Linked DNA regions of Sus scrofa. The main gene of each other region encodes a partner of the protein of the gene in region 2 in a complex. Links are inferred from orthologs where the notes say so. Each region holds a gene or a part of one and is shown on either strand. Other genes may lie near its edges.

Region 1 (4,397 bases), on a different chromosome or scaffold from region 2:
TGCAAATCCCCGGATTTCTTTATTTCCTCTCCTGTGTGACTCTGTTGAGAACTTGCTGTACTCTTTTTGTGTCAAGATGTTCAGTTAGTGAGATTTTTCTGAAAGGTATCTGTAACCTGTTTGTCTTCTGACCAGGTCTCAAGGCTGTGGTCTGAGTTAAGCTCTGGAGCCCTTCAGAAACTCTTGTCAGAAAATGGGTTAAAGTCAGGGGCACCAGTGTGTGCTCAGTACTTTTCTCTGTAATCAACTATGACAATGTCATCACTCTCATTTTTTCTCCAAAGTACCAGGTATATGAGCTGTGACAACATGAAAAATGTCTATAACATGAGTTCCAACTGTGAAAAAAGAATAGTGGTTTTTGTTTCCCTTCTGCTCCAGAGTGAAACTAAAAATGAGGTACTTGAAGCAACTGGAGTTTCGTTTTTTACAGGGGTTGAGAGGTGGAAAGACTCAGTGGTCATCTAGTCCAACTATTCTTTAGGTCTAGTTTTATCCATCAAAGAACTTAACTCTCTGTACCTCTGTACCACCACCAGTGGGAGTGCTCTATTGAGGCAGAGCTTCCTCATATTCTGTTACAGCCCCGGCTCAACATGTCTCAGAGTGAAGTAAAATAGGTTCCAATAAAAGCACTGACCAGACCTGACACTTTAGCTCCGAATCTTATGATGAGGATAGAGCTACAGGGGCTGGCTCAGCTGTATAGAGGCCACACAAAGGCCCGTGTGGCAGTTGTGAAAGGTAATGACTCTCTGTGAGCAAGCCCACTGTCTCTGATGAACAACAGGTCTTAGATTTACACAGGAGATCGTTTAGAGTTTCTTCCCTGTGGAGCCAACCAGCCACAAGGACAATGAGAACGTATCCATTTCTTTTGGTACATCCTACGGTAATGCTATTTAACTGGATATGTTTCCAAAGTCTTTCAAATTAATTCCCTGCTGGGTCCCAAATGACAGAACAAGAATGGAAACTTAAGACCCTTGATGTCTGGAAACAGGTAGACTTTCATCAGGACAAGCCACAAACCTTGCAGCTCGGGCTAGGAATTCCCATCATGACCCTGATACCTATTTATTTACAAGAAATGTACGATTCACGCCTCTCCCCATGAACCTCAGTTTTCTCCCAAAGGGAAATGATACAAGATAGGTTCAACCATCAACCAGCCTCAGAAGGAGGGGTGGCTAGTTTGAGGGGATCAGGGTTTGCTGGAAGTGATGATAATGAATTCAGTGCCAGAGCACCCAGTGAGTTAGGCGGATGCTGCATTACCTGCATTTTTTATTGGGAAGTCAGTCTTCCTCTGCATAGTGGAAGGCAACTCATTGATGCGCAGGGATAGCTGGCGTTTAAAGGGTGACATCTTCTGGCTAAGAGCAGGAAATCCTCGGAAAGAGCCTTGGCGGGCAAGTTGTTCAATTGGTGCGTGCCGGCGTGGGATGGCGTGAGGGTTGTTCATCTCCAGAGAGGCAGTGGCATCCAAAGTGGGAGAGGTGGGGGAGGATGGGGATGGGGTAGTGTTGCCAGGGGCCACTGATGAACCAACAACTGTCTTATCTGTTTCAGCTCAAGAAAGTCAAGAGAAAGAGGACCTTAGCAATGTCTTCAAATAATTTGAGCTTATACTGCTGAGGAACTCAAAACCCCTCCCAGGTCCTTTTACACATTTCCTTCCCTATGTCTTTTAAAGGACAGGTTAGAAGCAGGGCTCAAATCTATTTTTCAGACAAAAAAAAGTTTAATAATCTACAACATGTGACATGGTACATCCACTAAGACATAAATATTAGATCTTCGATTCCCATGCAGTTATTTAACTTAAGACTCTGAACAAGATAAAAAAAAAAACAAAAACAAAAAAACAGCAAAAAACAAACAAACAAAAAAAACCCCAAAACAACTCAGTACCTATGAATTCCTAATGTGAGGTCCTTTAAAGAATAACTGTTCAGGAATTCCTGTCGTGGTTCAGTGGAGACGAATCTGACTAGCATCCATGAGGACACAGGTTCGATCCCTGGCCTCGCTCAGTGGGTTAAGGATTTGGCATTGCTGTGGCTATGGTGTAGGCTGGCAGCTACAGCTCTAATTCGACCCCTAGCCTGGGAACCTCCATATGCCATGGGTGTGGCCACCCTAAAAAGACAAAAAAAAAAAAAAAAAAAAAGAAAAAGAAAAAAAAAAGAATAATTGTTCACAGTTTTCAGTCTTTTTGTGTTTGGGGGACAGGTCGTTAGGAGTGGCAGAGTCAGAAAGGTCTAAACAAGCATAAGTTTGATATCAAAGAATGTCATAAAGCAGTCTTTAAATCATGGGCAAGATGCATTTGTGGCTCATTTGAATAAAAGTATACAGAAGTAAAATTTTATTTTTATTTTATTTTACTTATTTATTGTCTTTTTAGGACCACACCTAAGGCATATGGAAGTTCCCAGGATATGAGTTGAATCAGAGCTGCAGGTGCTGGCCTATGCCAGAGGCACAGCAACGCAGGATCTGAGCCACGTCTATGACCTACACCACAGCTCAAGGCAATGCCAGATCCTTAACCCACTGAGCAAGGCCAGGGATTGAACCTGCAACCTCTTGGTTCCTCACTGCGCCACAGTGGGAACTACCCTAAGTAAAATTTTAAAATGGAGCAAACTTAGATACAAGATTATTTCCACATGAGTACCAGCTGCGTCCCACTCTGACTGAGGTAAATCTCTGCTCTCCTCCCCTCATGATCCTCTCTGTAGATGCTAGGATGCAACCATTTTGGCAGTTGCTGTGTGTAGCAAAAAATACTATTTCGTGGCATTAAAGAACATGCTTCCAGTCTGAAAATCACTGAAACACATTAAATAAGAGCTATACATATTAAATTTTCTAATTAAAATAGCATGGTATTTTTTTCTTTGGTATCCTGGCCCAATATTTATAAGAGATGAAAAAAATCACAATCAATAATTTAATTTTGAATAAAAATTTGTATCCTCTTTTTTGGCTTAAAAATAAGAGCTATTTGGGTCAGTATTAGATTAACGTGTTATTTACTTATTTTCTTTCTTTCTTTTTACAGCTGTAGCTGCGGCACATGGAAGTTCTCGGGTGGAATTGGAGCAGCAGCTGCAGGCCTACACCATAGCCACAGCAACACAGGATCTGAGCTGCATTTTCAACCTATGTTGCAACTTGCAGCAAACACTGGATCCTTAACCCACTGAGCAGGGCCAGGGATTGAACCCATATCCTCATGGAAACTATGTTGGGTTTTTACACTGCTGAGCCACAACAGGAACTCCCAGATTAATGATATTCTCTAAAATGGCTGGTTTAGAATGAAAAGAATATAGTAAAAAAACAGCAAAATTAATGTATATTAAACTAACTGTTTGATTCCAAAACCTTCCTTATTGGCTTCAACCCTAGTTATACACAATAATGCAAAGCATTTTCCCTTAGGCCTATGACTTAGTCCTAAAATATGCCCACTCAACTTTAGAGAACAGAACCTCCGGGTAACCTGAATGCTTACACAGGCAGTTCTGCTATGCTGCCTTGTGTACCTGAAAAAACTCAACACTCTACAAAACCACAGATTAAAATTAATGGGGCTATGGAAAAAAGAGTTAGGGGCCAGCTTCTCAAAATCTGTGGACATTTCTCCCTAAAGCACTAAATTAACAGTAATAATCTAATAAGAAGAGTAGCACCGAGAAATCTCTGCCTGCATTTACACCTGGTAGCACTGTCAGTGGGTTCTCCGCAGCTTAAAACTGGGACTTGTACTTTTTCCTTCAAGATGTAGGTGTTTTGTTTTTGTTTTTGTTTTTTTTTTTTTTGGTCTTTTTGTCTTTTCTAGGGCTGCACTCGCGGCATATGGAGGTTCCCAGGCTAGGGGTCTAATTAAAGCTGTAGCTGCCAGCCTACACCACAGCCACAGCAATGCCAGATCTGAGCTGCATCTGCGACCTACACCACAGGTCACGGCAACACCGGATCCTTGACCCACTGAGCAAGGCCAGGGATCGAACCCGAAACATCATGGTTCCTAGTCAGATTCGTTAACCACTGAGCCATGACGGGAACTCCAAGATGTAGGTTCTTGATAGCATCTGCTCCTCACAGAGATCAGATGCATCAGAATTAAAAATCTGTTACAGGATGCATGTTTTCCCAATTTTACTTTTAAATGTCTTTGCAGCTTCTTCAACTGTACTCTCAGCTTCCCTGGGTAGTTTAACATAACGGAAGCCACTCTAAAGGAAAAGACTTTGTTTAGATTTTCAGCTTTGTCCTGAAGGTCTTCATTTGCTAAGAGTTCTCTTTGTGAAAAACCTTGCCCCGATAGCTTCCAAACATTAACCTGTTGGGGAAAACTGTTTAAATAAACACACATTGTAGCA
Region 2 (4,963 bases):
GTCTAGAAAGGAATTGGGTTCTAGAATGTTTCACAATGTTTCTTTCCACTAGTCCACTCTATGTAAGCTCCTCAATATGAAATAAGAACCTGAAGACACACCTTTACTTCACTTCAAAAACATTTTTGCCCCTTCGAAGTATAGAGTGAGGCAGGGAATTGCAGCTCTCAAGGATGTGAGGCAACCCACTGTTTCCAACCTGCATGGTTTTTTTAAACCTTACCGACATGGTCCTCCAGGTGACGCTGACAGCATAAGGAACATGAGCCAGTACAGGCAGGCAATGTTATTAGGTAACATTTAAATTATAAAGGAAACAGAAAACAAGTTAGAAGGATGAAGACTGAAAACTCACTTGACAGTAACACCAACATTACTAGTTTTACATGTCAGAGGATCAGAAGAGATGTGAGCTTCAAGGTCACAGAGTGGTGGCAGCAGAACATCCCCTCACCCAGGTGTGGCAGAGCAAGCAGTCTACTTACCTGTCCTGAGAAACCCACATAAACCCAAAGAGTTACCCAGAATTCTCTTTCCAAAAGCTATACTTTAGGCCTATGATATTAATGAAATGGGGACTGAGTCTTCTCCATAACATTAAGAATTTAACATACAAAAAACAACAGGTAGAAATGTGAGAAACTGTTTTCCACTGACCCCTGTCAAGTCCTTTCCAATAAATGTAGTCCATTAGGATGAAAAAAATTTCCTTAATAGGAGAAACAGGCAAAGTGACCCCCCAAATTCTTATTATTTAATAGGAGGTACCTTGAGGAAATGGTTTATCGAAATTCTGAGATAACAGAGTTTGGATTGAATATTTAATGGCTTATCCAACCCATCAATCATTTCAGATGCAGATATTACATATTCCCAATACACAAAAGGGACCATCTGTTTGCAAAATCCTACCTTAACATCTCAGAGAAAAATCTGTGGACACAAGTAGGTAGCTGCAGGAAAGCGTTTTTTTCAAGATTGCTTATAAAGACCAGAAAATCAATTATTTTCTCTCCACAAACTGTTTCATTCTGGTTAGATCTCTGCATTCTTCCTTTCCCATTTCAAGTTGCCTATAGCTCCAGAACTACCTTCCAGTCATCTTCCCTTAACCTGCATCAACGTTGATTCCAGCCCCATTCCTGCTTTATTCCCCAAAAGCCTCCTAACACTGTGGCCTTCAAGTCCCACTCCAGGATAAGTAAGGGCCTCACTAAAATGTCCAAAGAGCGGCCTCAACCAGTATAATCCCAGTGGCACTCAGTTACTGGGGAAAAGTCATACTTAAGTGTGACTTGCTGGGTGGACAAAAGTGGCTTTATTCTGAAGATTAAGCTTAGAACCCCTTCCAAGGAAATGCACTCACACAGTAAGTCCAGATTCTGTAAAATTTGCTATATTACTGTATCTTACACTTGTTTTTCTTATAAGACCCCCAGAATTACATAGACATCAGGTCCTAAACCTAAATCATCCCTGTTCTGGATGAAAAGCTCCCACCTAGCCCATGACACCAAGCAAGGGCTCAAACTGGGATCACCAATGAATCAACAAATGCGAGGTGGCGGCAGCAGTGGTGGTTTCCAAACATCTGGTTCAATGTGTGACAAGGACAACATGGAAGAGATAACTCTTCAAGTACACTTCTTACCTGGATAAGCCCAAATATTGACCTCAACAACATACTTCACATATTACTATTGAAAGCTTTAAAAGGAGCTTTTTATATGACTCTGACATTTTAGGAAGCCTCTGTATTTGTGGGTTTTTTCCTCTAAGAAATCCCCTCCCAAGGCTCGAAAAAGGGCAAATGAGCTGTAGAATCCAGGGCAGTCTAAAAAAAAAAAAAAAAAAAAAGAATCCAGGGCAGTAATTGCTGAACTTAAACCTACTAACACTTGCCACTTGAGGGCTGGTTCAAGTGCAGCTGAGCTCCACCCCCAGGGTTTCTGAGTCTTTAGGTCTAGGGTGGGGCCCCAGGAGATCCTTTCAGGTCTCAGGAGGTGGAACACTGGGTGAACATGGCAGGTTGGTGGCCGCAGCTGTGGCTATACCCGTGTGACCTTGACGCAGAGGGAAGTAATGTTCATTTGGAGAAAACGTGAAATAATGCGCGGAGACGAGGTTAGCGAGGAGTTCGCCACAACCCTAAGTCTCAGGCACGCAGGTGGTATCTAATCCAGGGCATTTGCCAGGGTGTGGTCGGCAAAGGCTCCTTCCCCGGAAATCGAGCTGCAGACAGGTCTCTGAGGGTCTCGGCAAGGCAAAGGTACACGGGCTCGGCCCGCCCAGGAGTCACGACCCGTTTTAGTCTCCAAGCAGATGGGTGCCGCATCCAACCTGGAAGGAGCCACACGCCCGCCACCCTCCCGCCGGCTTGCGGGGGGGAGGGGGGGGGTCTCCGCACACAATGCGGACCCCGGGCGTGGGAGGATGGAACCAGAACGATTCCAGCGAGCGGAGCAAAAACGGATCGGAATTACACCGACTGCAGGTAGTGGCAGCGGAAACCATGAGAGACAGGGCGCCACTCACTAGGTGATTCTTTATTACAAGTTGGGGTGTGGAGAAAAGAGGGGGTGCCCCAGCCCGACAGAAATATCCAGAAGGAGAAATGTGACTCCCTCACCTTCCCACGGGCACCCTCCCTCACCTGTGGTCCGAGCTGGGATATGGCGACCCCCGACCACCAGATGGCCCGCCCGCGGGGTCACCGCCGCACCCCCTCCCTAGAAACCCCACCAGGGCCCGGCCGCAGGAAATGGCGGGGCGCGCGGCGGGCGCGGGAAGCGCGGTGTGCGGGCGGGTGGCCGCGCCCAGCGGGGCGGCGGGGTCGCCCCAGGCCTGGAGGGAGCAGCCGCCTGGTTGCCCACCCTTCCCCTGCGTCGGGCCCCCGGCCGGCCGCCCGGGCGTCCGGCGCGCTCACCGCCTTCATGGCGGAGGCCATGTCGTCGTAGCGCTCCGCCTGCTCGGCCAGCCGCGCCCGCTGCAGCAGCTGTTCGCGGTCCCCCATGTCGCTATGGCTCGGCCTCGCCTCGCGCCCAGCTCCACTCGCTTGCTAGCCCGCGCGTCCGCTCCCGGTCGCCGCGGAGGCCGCCGCCGCGCACGCGCACTGGCTCGCCGGCCCGCCTAGGCTACAAGCAGCAGGCAGCACCGATCGACCTCTCGCTGGCTCGCCTCGCGCGCTGTGGCTCGCACCGCGGACGCCGCCGAGAGAGGACAGGCGGTCACGCGGGGGGATGGGCGGATGGGAGGACGCCTGCGCAGTGGGAGGGGCAGGGCCGGGCGGCGCGGAGCGGCGCAAGTGGGAGGGGGGAAGGGCGGGCCGGCCCTAACGGTCTATTTCAAGGTGACGTCAGCTACTATAAATAGCTGCGACCACCGCCCCGCCCCAAAGCCGCGCAGGCGCCGTGCGAGTGCTGCATTTTACCACCGCAGAGGTGGAGGTGAAGAGGGGACCGCTGGGGTGGGGACTGCAGAGATCGGGGAAGGGGCCGGGAGATGGCTGCTCCGCTGGCAGCGCACTGTCACGGCCCCACCCGGAAAGGTGCTTCTGAACCCATGTTAGAGCACTAGATTGAGAAGGGACTCCAAAGCAAATAAAACTAGCGCTTGGGGAAGCCAGGAGGCCGCATGCCCGACGGGCGGTCTGGACCCGCCCCCGCCCAGTCTAACCGTTCGGCTTCGCAGGGCCACACCCAGCACTTGGGTCTGCGCTGGCAGATTAGAGTCGGTCCCGCCTAACGTCCCCCCCACCCCCACCCCACAACACATTCATTCACTGCGCCTCCACCCTAGGGAGTGGCCTTGTGCAGACTGTGCCTTTACGCGGGAGGAGGGACTGACCGGCCCGGCTGAGGCGGATAACCTTCGTGACACACCTGCTAGGAGCTGGCCCAGTGCTAGGCCTTTCCAGGCACGATCGTATCTGATGCTCACAACTCAGGCCAGTGGGTACAGCTGGCCTCTTTTTTCAAAGCCAGACCAGTGTGAGTTGCTCAAGGTTACTGTTGGCCTGTAAAGTGGCAAAGAGGAGAGTGGACCCGCTGGTCACTGAGCCAGTCCTGGCGTTCCACGCTGAGGAACCCTGGTGCCAGGCCCAGGGCTGGGCCTCGGACAAGAGAGGAAAATCCCAATAACTAAAGCATGACCAGACCTAGTATACCATGCGAAGGGCAGTGCAGGAGAAGGGGCCTGAGGTTCTCTGAGAATTTTATTGAGCACCTACTGCATGCTCAACACTGGGGGAAAGAGTAGGTGCAGAATGAGTAGGACACTCAGTTCTCTCTGTGGCTCAATGAGGTCATCTTGGGAGGGCTGGAATGCAGGTTTAATCCCCAGCCTGGTACAGTGGCTTAAGGATCTAGCACTGGATCCCTGGCCCAGGAATTCCGTATGCCCAGGGGAGGACAAAAAAGAAAAAAAAGAAAAAAAAAAAAAAGAGTTAAGACGCAGCCCCTGTCTCGGAGAAGCAGATGTCTGAATACCCCAAAGGAGGTAAGCTGGTCCAGATAATGTCAGGGAAAAGGTGGGAGAGAGTGGGGTCTGCAAAGACAAAGCCTTGGCAGTGAAGATAAAAACAAAATGGTGAGAAAGGTCGGGCAGTGGGACATGAGGTGAGGTAAAAAACAAGACTGTGGAGTGTTTTCAATGCCAGGCTGAAGATCTGAAGCATCCCTAGGTAGTTGGGAACCACCAGAGGCATGGAAGCCACATTTCAGGCCAGGAGTCTTACTTTGGAGAGTCAGATGCATTAGAAAGGAGAGAGAGGAGGAGTTCCCGTCCTGGCACAGTGGTTAACGAATCCGACTAGGAACCATGAGGTTGCAGGTTCGGTCCCTGCCCTTGCTCAGTGGGTTAATGATCCGGCGATGCCGCGAGCTGTGGTGTAGGATCCCGAGTTGCTGTGGCTGTGGTTTAGGCTGGCAGCTACAGCTCCGATTAGACCCCTAGCCTGGGAACC
Region 3 (4,397 bases), on a different chromosome or scaffold from region 2:
ACGTTTTTTAAAAAATCCTATCATTTTCACATCTGTTTAAATTCTGTATATCATTGCCCAAAAGTTTCATGTAGTATTTTATGACTTGTCTTTAATAATTACTTAGAGACAAAAATAACTTTGACTTGTATTAACAACAGAATGATGTTTCTGACAAGTGTTTGCCTTTCGTGCCCCTGAAATTTTTCTTACTCCTTAAGTCAGTTGTATCTTCCCTGTCCTTTGAGCCTCCAGCACACTCACCCTCTACCCAGATGCAAAACCTCTGTGTCGGTGGGAAACACCCTGGGGTAGAGAGAGCTATTGTCAAACTATGAATTTATCCTGTTTAGCCAAGGCAATCAGGGTTAACTTGAGTTTCAGTTTTCCTGCAGTAAGGCGTTGCTGGGGTGGTGGTGATGTTATTTGGCACCTTAATTGTACTTGCAGGTAACTCAGATAATGAACACCCCTTTTGTAATTCTGGCTGATACCAGGGTGATGGTTCCCTCTCACGTGTGCAGAATTCCATATCATTGAGCTTAGAGGGACCTCAGGAGACCATTTATCCACTCCCTGTATTTTACAGGTGAGGCCCCTTGGGCCCAGAAAGGGAAGTGACCAGACTTTGGGTCTTCAGCATTGATTTGGTGTCATCCAGGACCAGGGGGCAGAGGGGCTCAGGCTAAATCTTGGGTGCTTTCGGCAGTTTCATCCCGGTTTCAAGTCTAGGGTCCTGATAAGGCCATTCCCCTCTACTTGCCCACAAAGTTATTTATCTCATTGCATATATGTCAGAGTAATTGCAGTTCTGCCTAAGGCAACTCATCTTTTTAAGATGTAATTGCCAGGTAACCAGAAGATTTTCTTTTGAATGCTCGTGGCCTGGGACAGGAGCTAGTGGCCTCTATTTCAGCCAGGAATACTGTTAGCATCGACCTGTTTGAGATGGCTTTCTACCAGGTATGCTCTCAGTGCTGTCCTGGGAGTCTCCCCTGCACTTTTCTCCAGGGAATAGGATCAGGCAGGAACCTGAACAGTGGCAAGAAGAATCCTGCTGTTATCTGTGAGATCACTGCCTTGTTCACACTGGAGAATCTCCAAGGAGGTGACTTTTCAGTTGTTAATGCCCTGCCTTTATTGCAGAGCACTGAGTTGACAGTAATCACAAGTGACCTAAAAAGGTAGAACTGACTGATGATGCTAATGGCCAGCATTTGTTAAGTGTGGCAGGAACCCTCGTGAGGTCTTCATATGTACCGGGTTAATCAATCATTAAACCATTAACTGATTAGTTTAATGGTCACACACAACTTCTGAGCAAGATCCTGTTATTGCCCCACTTTAAAGATGTGGATACCGAGGCACAGAGAGAAAAGGAACTTGCCCTTGGCCACATGGTTCTGTAAGTAATGAAGCCTGGACACAGACCTAGGACATCTGCCTCTTGATCTGTGTGGTGATGTCATTTCAATTATGTATGTATGGATAGTTCCATTTTCAGAGTCCCTGTAAGCTGGGTGTTTCTTTGTTTTGTTTTTTCTGTCTCATTTTACTGCCTTAGAACAGTCTAGAGAATGTAACTAACTTTCTTGACTGATGGTGAATTTTCATGGCCTCGGGGGATCAGGCAGGTAAGTTGGCTACTTATACAGGTGTTCTTGGTGCCAGGGAATGCTCTTGGCACCAAGAATACAGTGAAGACCCAACTTAAATCTCTGATCTCATGAGGTTATACTGTGCAAGTGAAGGCTGATAAAGCAGTAAAAATAAAGGAGCAATATAATTTCAGGTGGTGAATTGGGGGGACATCAATCAGGATGCTTTGATAGAGGATGATAAAGGTAGGCTAATGGTGGTGATTTAGGATGCAGTGTCTGGGGATGTGACCTGGGATCTCAGATCTAGGTGGCAAAGTGGAGACCACTGTGACCGTCCGGAGCCGGGGTGTCCAGCAGAGGGACCTGCTGGGGCAGGATTAGATGGGATGCACACAGGACCAGTGAGGTCAGGATGGGTGGAGTGAAGGGTAACTGGAGAGACAGGTTCATAGTGAGGTTATAGGTCATTAAGAACCAGATCATGTTTAACCTTGTAGGTCCACAGGAAACAATTTTCATGCAGCATATTTTAAGCAGAGGAGGAGGCTATTGAGAGTTTAAAGCAGGGAATGACATAAACGGATAATGTTTCAAATATAAATGCATACAGACACATACACTTCTGATATATAATAAATTATGCTGTGGCTTGTCTCTCTTGCTTCAAAAGTAAATATTTTACATTGTGTTCAGTTAAAGAGACTAGTATTTAAAGTTTTAATGCATGGAGTATTTTTAAATTAGTGAAATAGTAATGTTTATTTTTCTAATTTCCTACTACTGGCTTTGACCAGTTGATTTTGCACAATAAAATGAATGCTGTTTGTTGTTTTTTTGTTTTTTATGAATAGCACAAGTACATTCATAGCTTCATGAAATAAGTACCAGCAAAGACCGATTGATGATGCCACCCAGGACAGTCTCTGGAGGAGATAACATTTATTGTCTTAGGCTGATGGCGTGATATTTTAGTGTTTAAAAGTCAAGTAAAATTGCCTTCACAGATTGATCTTGTATAGTTTCCTCTTAGCTCCATTATTAGGTTTCTTCTGTCATGGTGACAAGCAGGCTCCAGTGACCACTGGTTCTCTGAAGTTAATCAGCACCATGAGATTGAGGCCGGCACCCAGCAGTTAGAAATTATACTTGGCAGTGACCGACTATAACTTTGTCAATTGTCTAAGGCTGAGGTTGGCTCCTAAAAATGGATGTTGATAGTGACATCTAGTGGATCTTGAGTAGATAAAGTTCTGTGACCTATGAAAAGGTGTCATTAATTGTCAAGTCCTGGGTGAGGAACCAACCCCATTTTGGCCGCGCCCACATCCTGAAACACAGAAACCTGTTCTCTGTGATCCAGTTTGTTGTAAATGTAAAGTGAAACTTTCTGGAGTATTGAAACTTACTTTTTCTTCCTCTAGACAGAAGACCCAACCATGGAGCGACCCTATACATTTAAGGATTTTCTCCTCAGACCAAGAAGGTGAGGCCTTAAGATGCAGATGTTCTCTATCCTTTGGCCCTTGGTTTTCTCGGAGGGAGACTTCAACTTCTCCTCCTAGTTCGTCTTTTTAAAAAGTCATCAGTATGAACCATTGTAAAGATGTAACCAAGTCCTATCCTTTATAACCAATTTTCTTCCATCATACAGTCATAAATCGCGAGTTAAGGGATTTTTGCGATTGAAGATGGCCTATATGCCCAAAAACGGAGGTCAAGATGAAGAGAACAGTGAGCAGAGAGATGAAATGGAGGTAGGCTATGGTGCTCAGGCTGTGGTCTGTTTTCTTTCCTTAAGAGCGTATTTGATATTTTACTTTACGACTTTATAATTTGGAGTTCCCTGGTGGCTCAGTGGGTTAAGGGTCTGGTAGTGTCAATGCTGTGGTGCAGTTTCCATCCCTGGCCCAGGAACTTCCACATACCAGGGGCGGACTTTATAATGTATGGAAATGAAAGTTTATAAAGCTTAAATATGAAGAAACTTAAATGTGTCCATGAATCCATGTCTTTGACAGATCTACCAATGTATTTTCAGCAAAAGACATGAACTTTTTATGTTACAGCACTCATAATTGAGGAGGTTTCTCTCTAATAAATGCTATACCCTTGTTTTGTAAACAACCCTACTGCTATGTGAAATTCTCCCCACGTATTCTCTTATTTCCTTGGACTTTTTCAGCTGTCAGTTCCTTTTAGCACTTGGAATTGCTTCAAAGTGGATAAAATGATTTAGAGACTCTCATCCACATTTCTTACTCATTTGGCCTGCAGGTGATAGCGTGCATTAGGTTAGGAAAGTTCTCCTCCAGAAATGCCATTTCAAAATTAGCCGTCCAGAGGAATTTTCTTTTGTTCCCTCCAGGCAAGGCCACCTTTTAATTTTCTAGTCACATACCTGTGCTGTGGGTCCTGTGATACCTTCCTGGCACAGGCTTTGGACGGAGCTGTTCCGTTAGACAGATTCGCTTCTGAAAATGTCTGTGTACAAGACCTCTCTCTGGCTTGTTTGCACATCTGTTTGCAGCTGTTGCATATACATGATGTGTGAATAAGGCATTATGGGCAAGTTAATCGAGCCCCCCCTCAGACCAGGAGGTCATATTTCCAGGCAGTTTTTCACGTGCAGGCTTTTGTCTCCCTCTCTGTGAGAAGCCGTCTTGAATGTTAAGATTCCATAAGCACATTCACAGGTTTTTATCTCAAATCCAAGGAATTTTTTTTAACACTCTTCCAGCCTTCCAACTACAGTGACCAATGAATTAACTGAATTTTCCAGTGACTTTACTAGGGGACGTTAGGAAGGAATACCTAATG

What was found. The genes of interacting proteins can lie anywhere in the genome.
Region 1: the proteins of YWHAH (region 2) and NUMB are in contact, whole or in part, in a crystal structure (PDB 5YQG), measured with the Mus musculus proteins. The link is inferred for Sus scrofa from reciprocal best matches to the Homo sapiens genes YWHAH and NUMB. Residues at the interface, in NP_035868.1 of Mus musculus: Arg57, Arg132, Tyr133, Leu177, Asn178, Val181, Glu185, Ile222, Leu225, Asn229; in NP_001129547.1 of Mus musculus: Gln274, Gly275, Ser276, Phe277.
Region 3: the proteins of YWHAH (region 2) and NEDD4L are in contact, whole or in part, in a crystal structure (PDB 7NMZ), measured with the Homo sapiens proteins. The link is inferred for Sus scrofa from reciprocal best matches to the Homo sapiens genes YWHAH and NEDD4L. Residues at the interface, in NP_003396.1 of Homo sapiens: Arg12, Glu15, Asn39, Asn43, Leu44, Ser46, Val47, Lys50, Arg57, Lys125, Arg132, Tyr133, Gly174, Leu177, Asn178, Val181, Tyr184, Glu185, Leu221, Leu225, Asp228, Asn229, Leu232, Trp233; in NP_001138439.1 of Homo sapiens: Pro444, Arg445, Ser446, Leu447, Ser448, Ser449, Pro450, Thr451, Val452, Thr453, Leu454, Ser455.

Annotation. Positions count from the first base shown.
Region 1 is NC_010449.5:96,630,887-96,635,283, forward strand, and holds part of NUMB (protein numb homolog), read right to left. Parts: intron 1,573-4,397; coding exon 1,279-1,572; intron 1-1,278. UniProt on the Homo sapiens protein: Regulates clathrin-mediated receptor endocytosis. Plays a role in the process of neurogenesis.
Region 2 is NC_010456.5:48,542,403-48,547,365, reverse strand, and holds the start of YWHAH (14-3-3 protein eta), read right to left. Parts: upstream 3,336-4,963; 5' UTR 3,014-3,335; coding exon 2,927-3,013; intron 1-2,926. UniProt on the Homo sapiens protein: Adapter protein implicated in the regulation of a large spectrum of both general and specialized signaling pathways. Binds to a large number of partners, usually by recognition of a phosphoserine or phosphothreonine motif.
Region 3 is NC_010443.5:162,440,016-162,444,412, reverse strand, and holds part of NEDD4L (E3 ubiquitin-protein ligase NEDD4-like), read left to right. Parts: intron 1-3,001; coding exon 3,002-3,063; intron 3,064-3,231; coding exon 3,232-3,334; intron 3,335-4,397. UniProt on the Homo sapiens protein: E3 ubiquitin-protein ligase that mediates the polyubiquitination of lysine and cysteine residues on target proteins and is thereby implicated in the regulation of various signaling pathways including autophagy, innate immunity or DNA repair.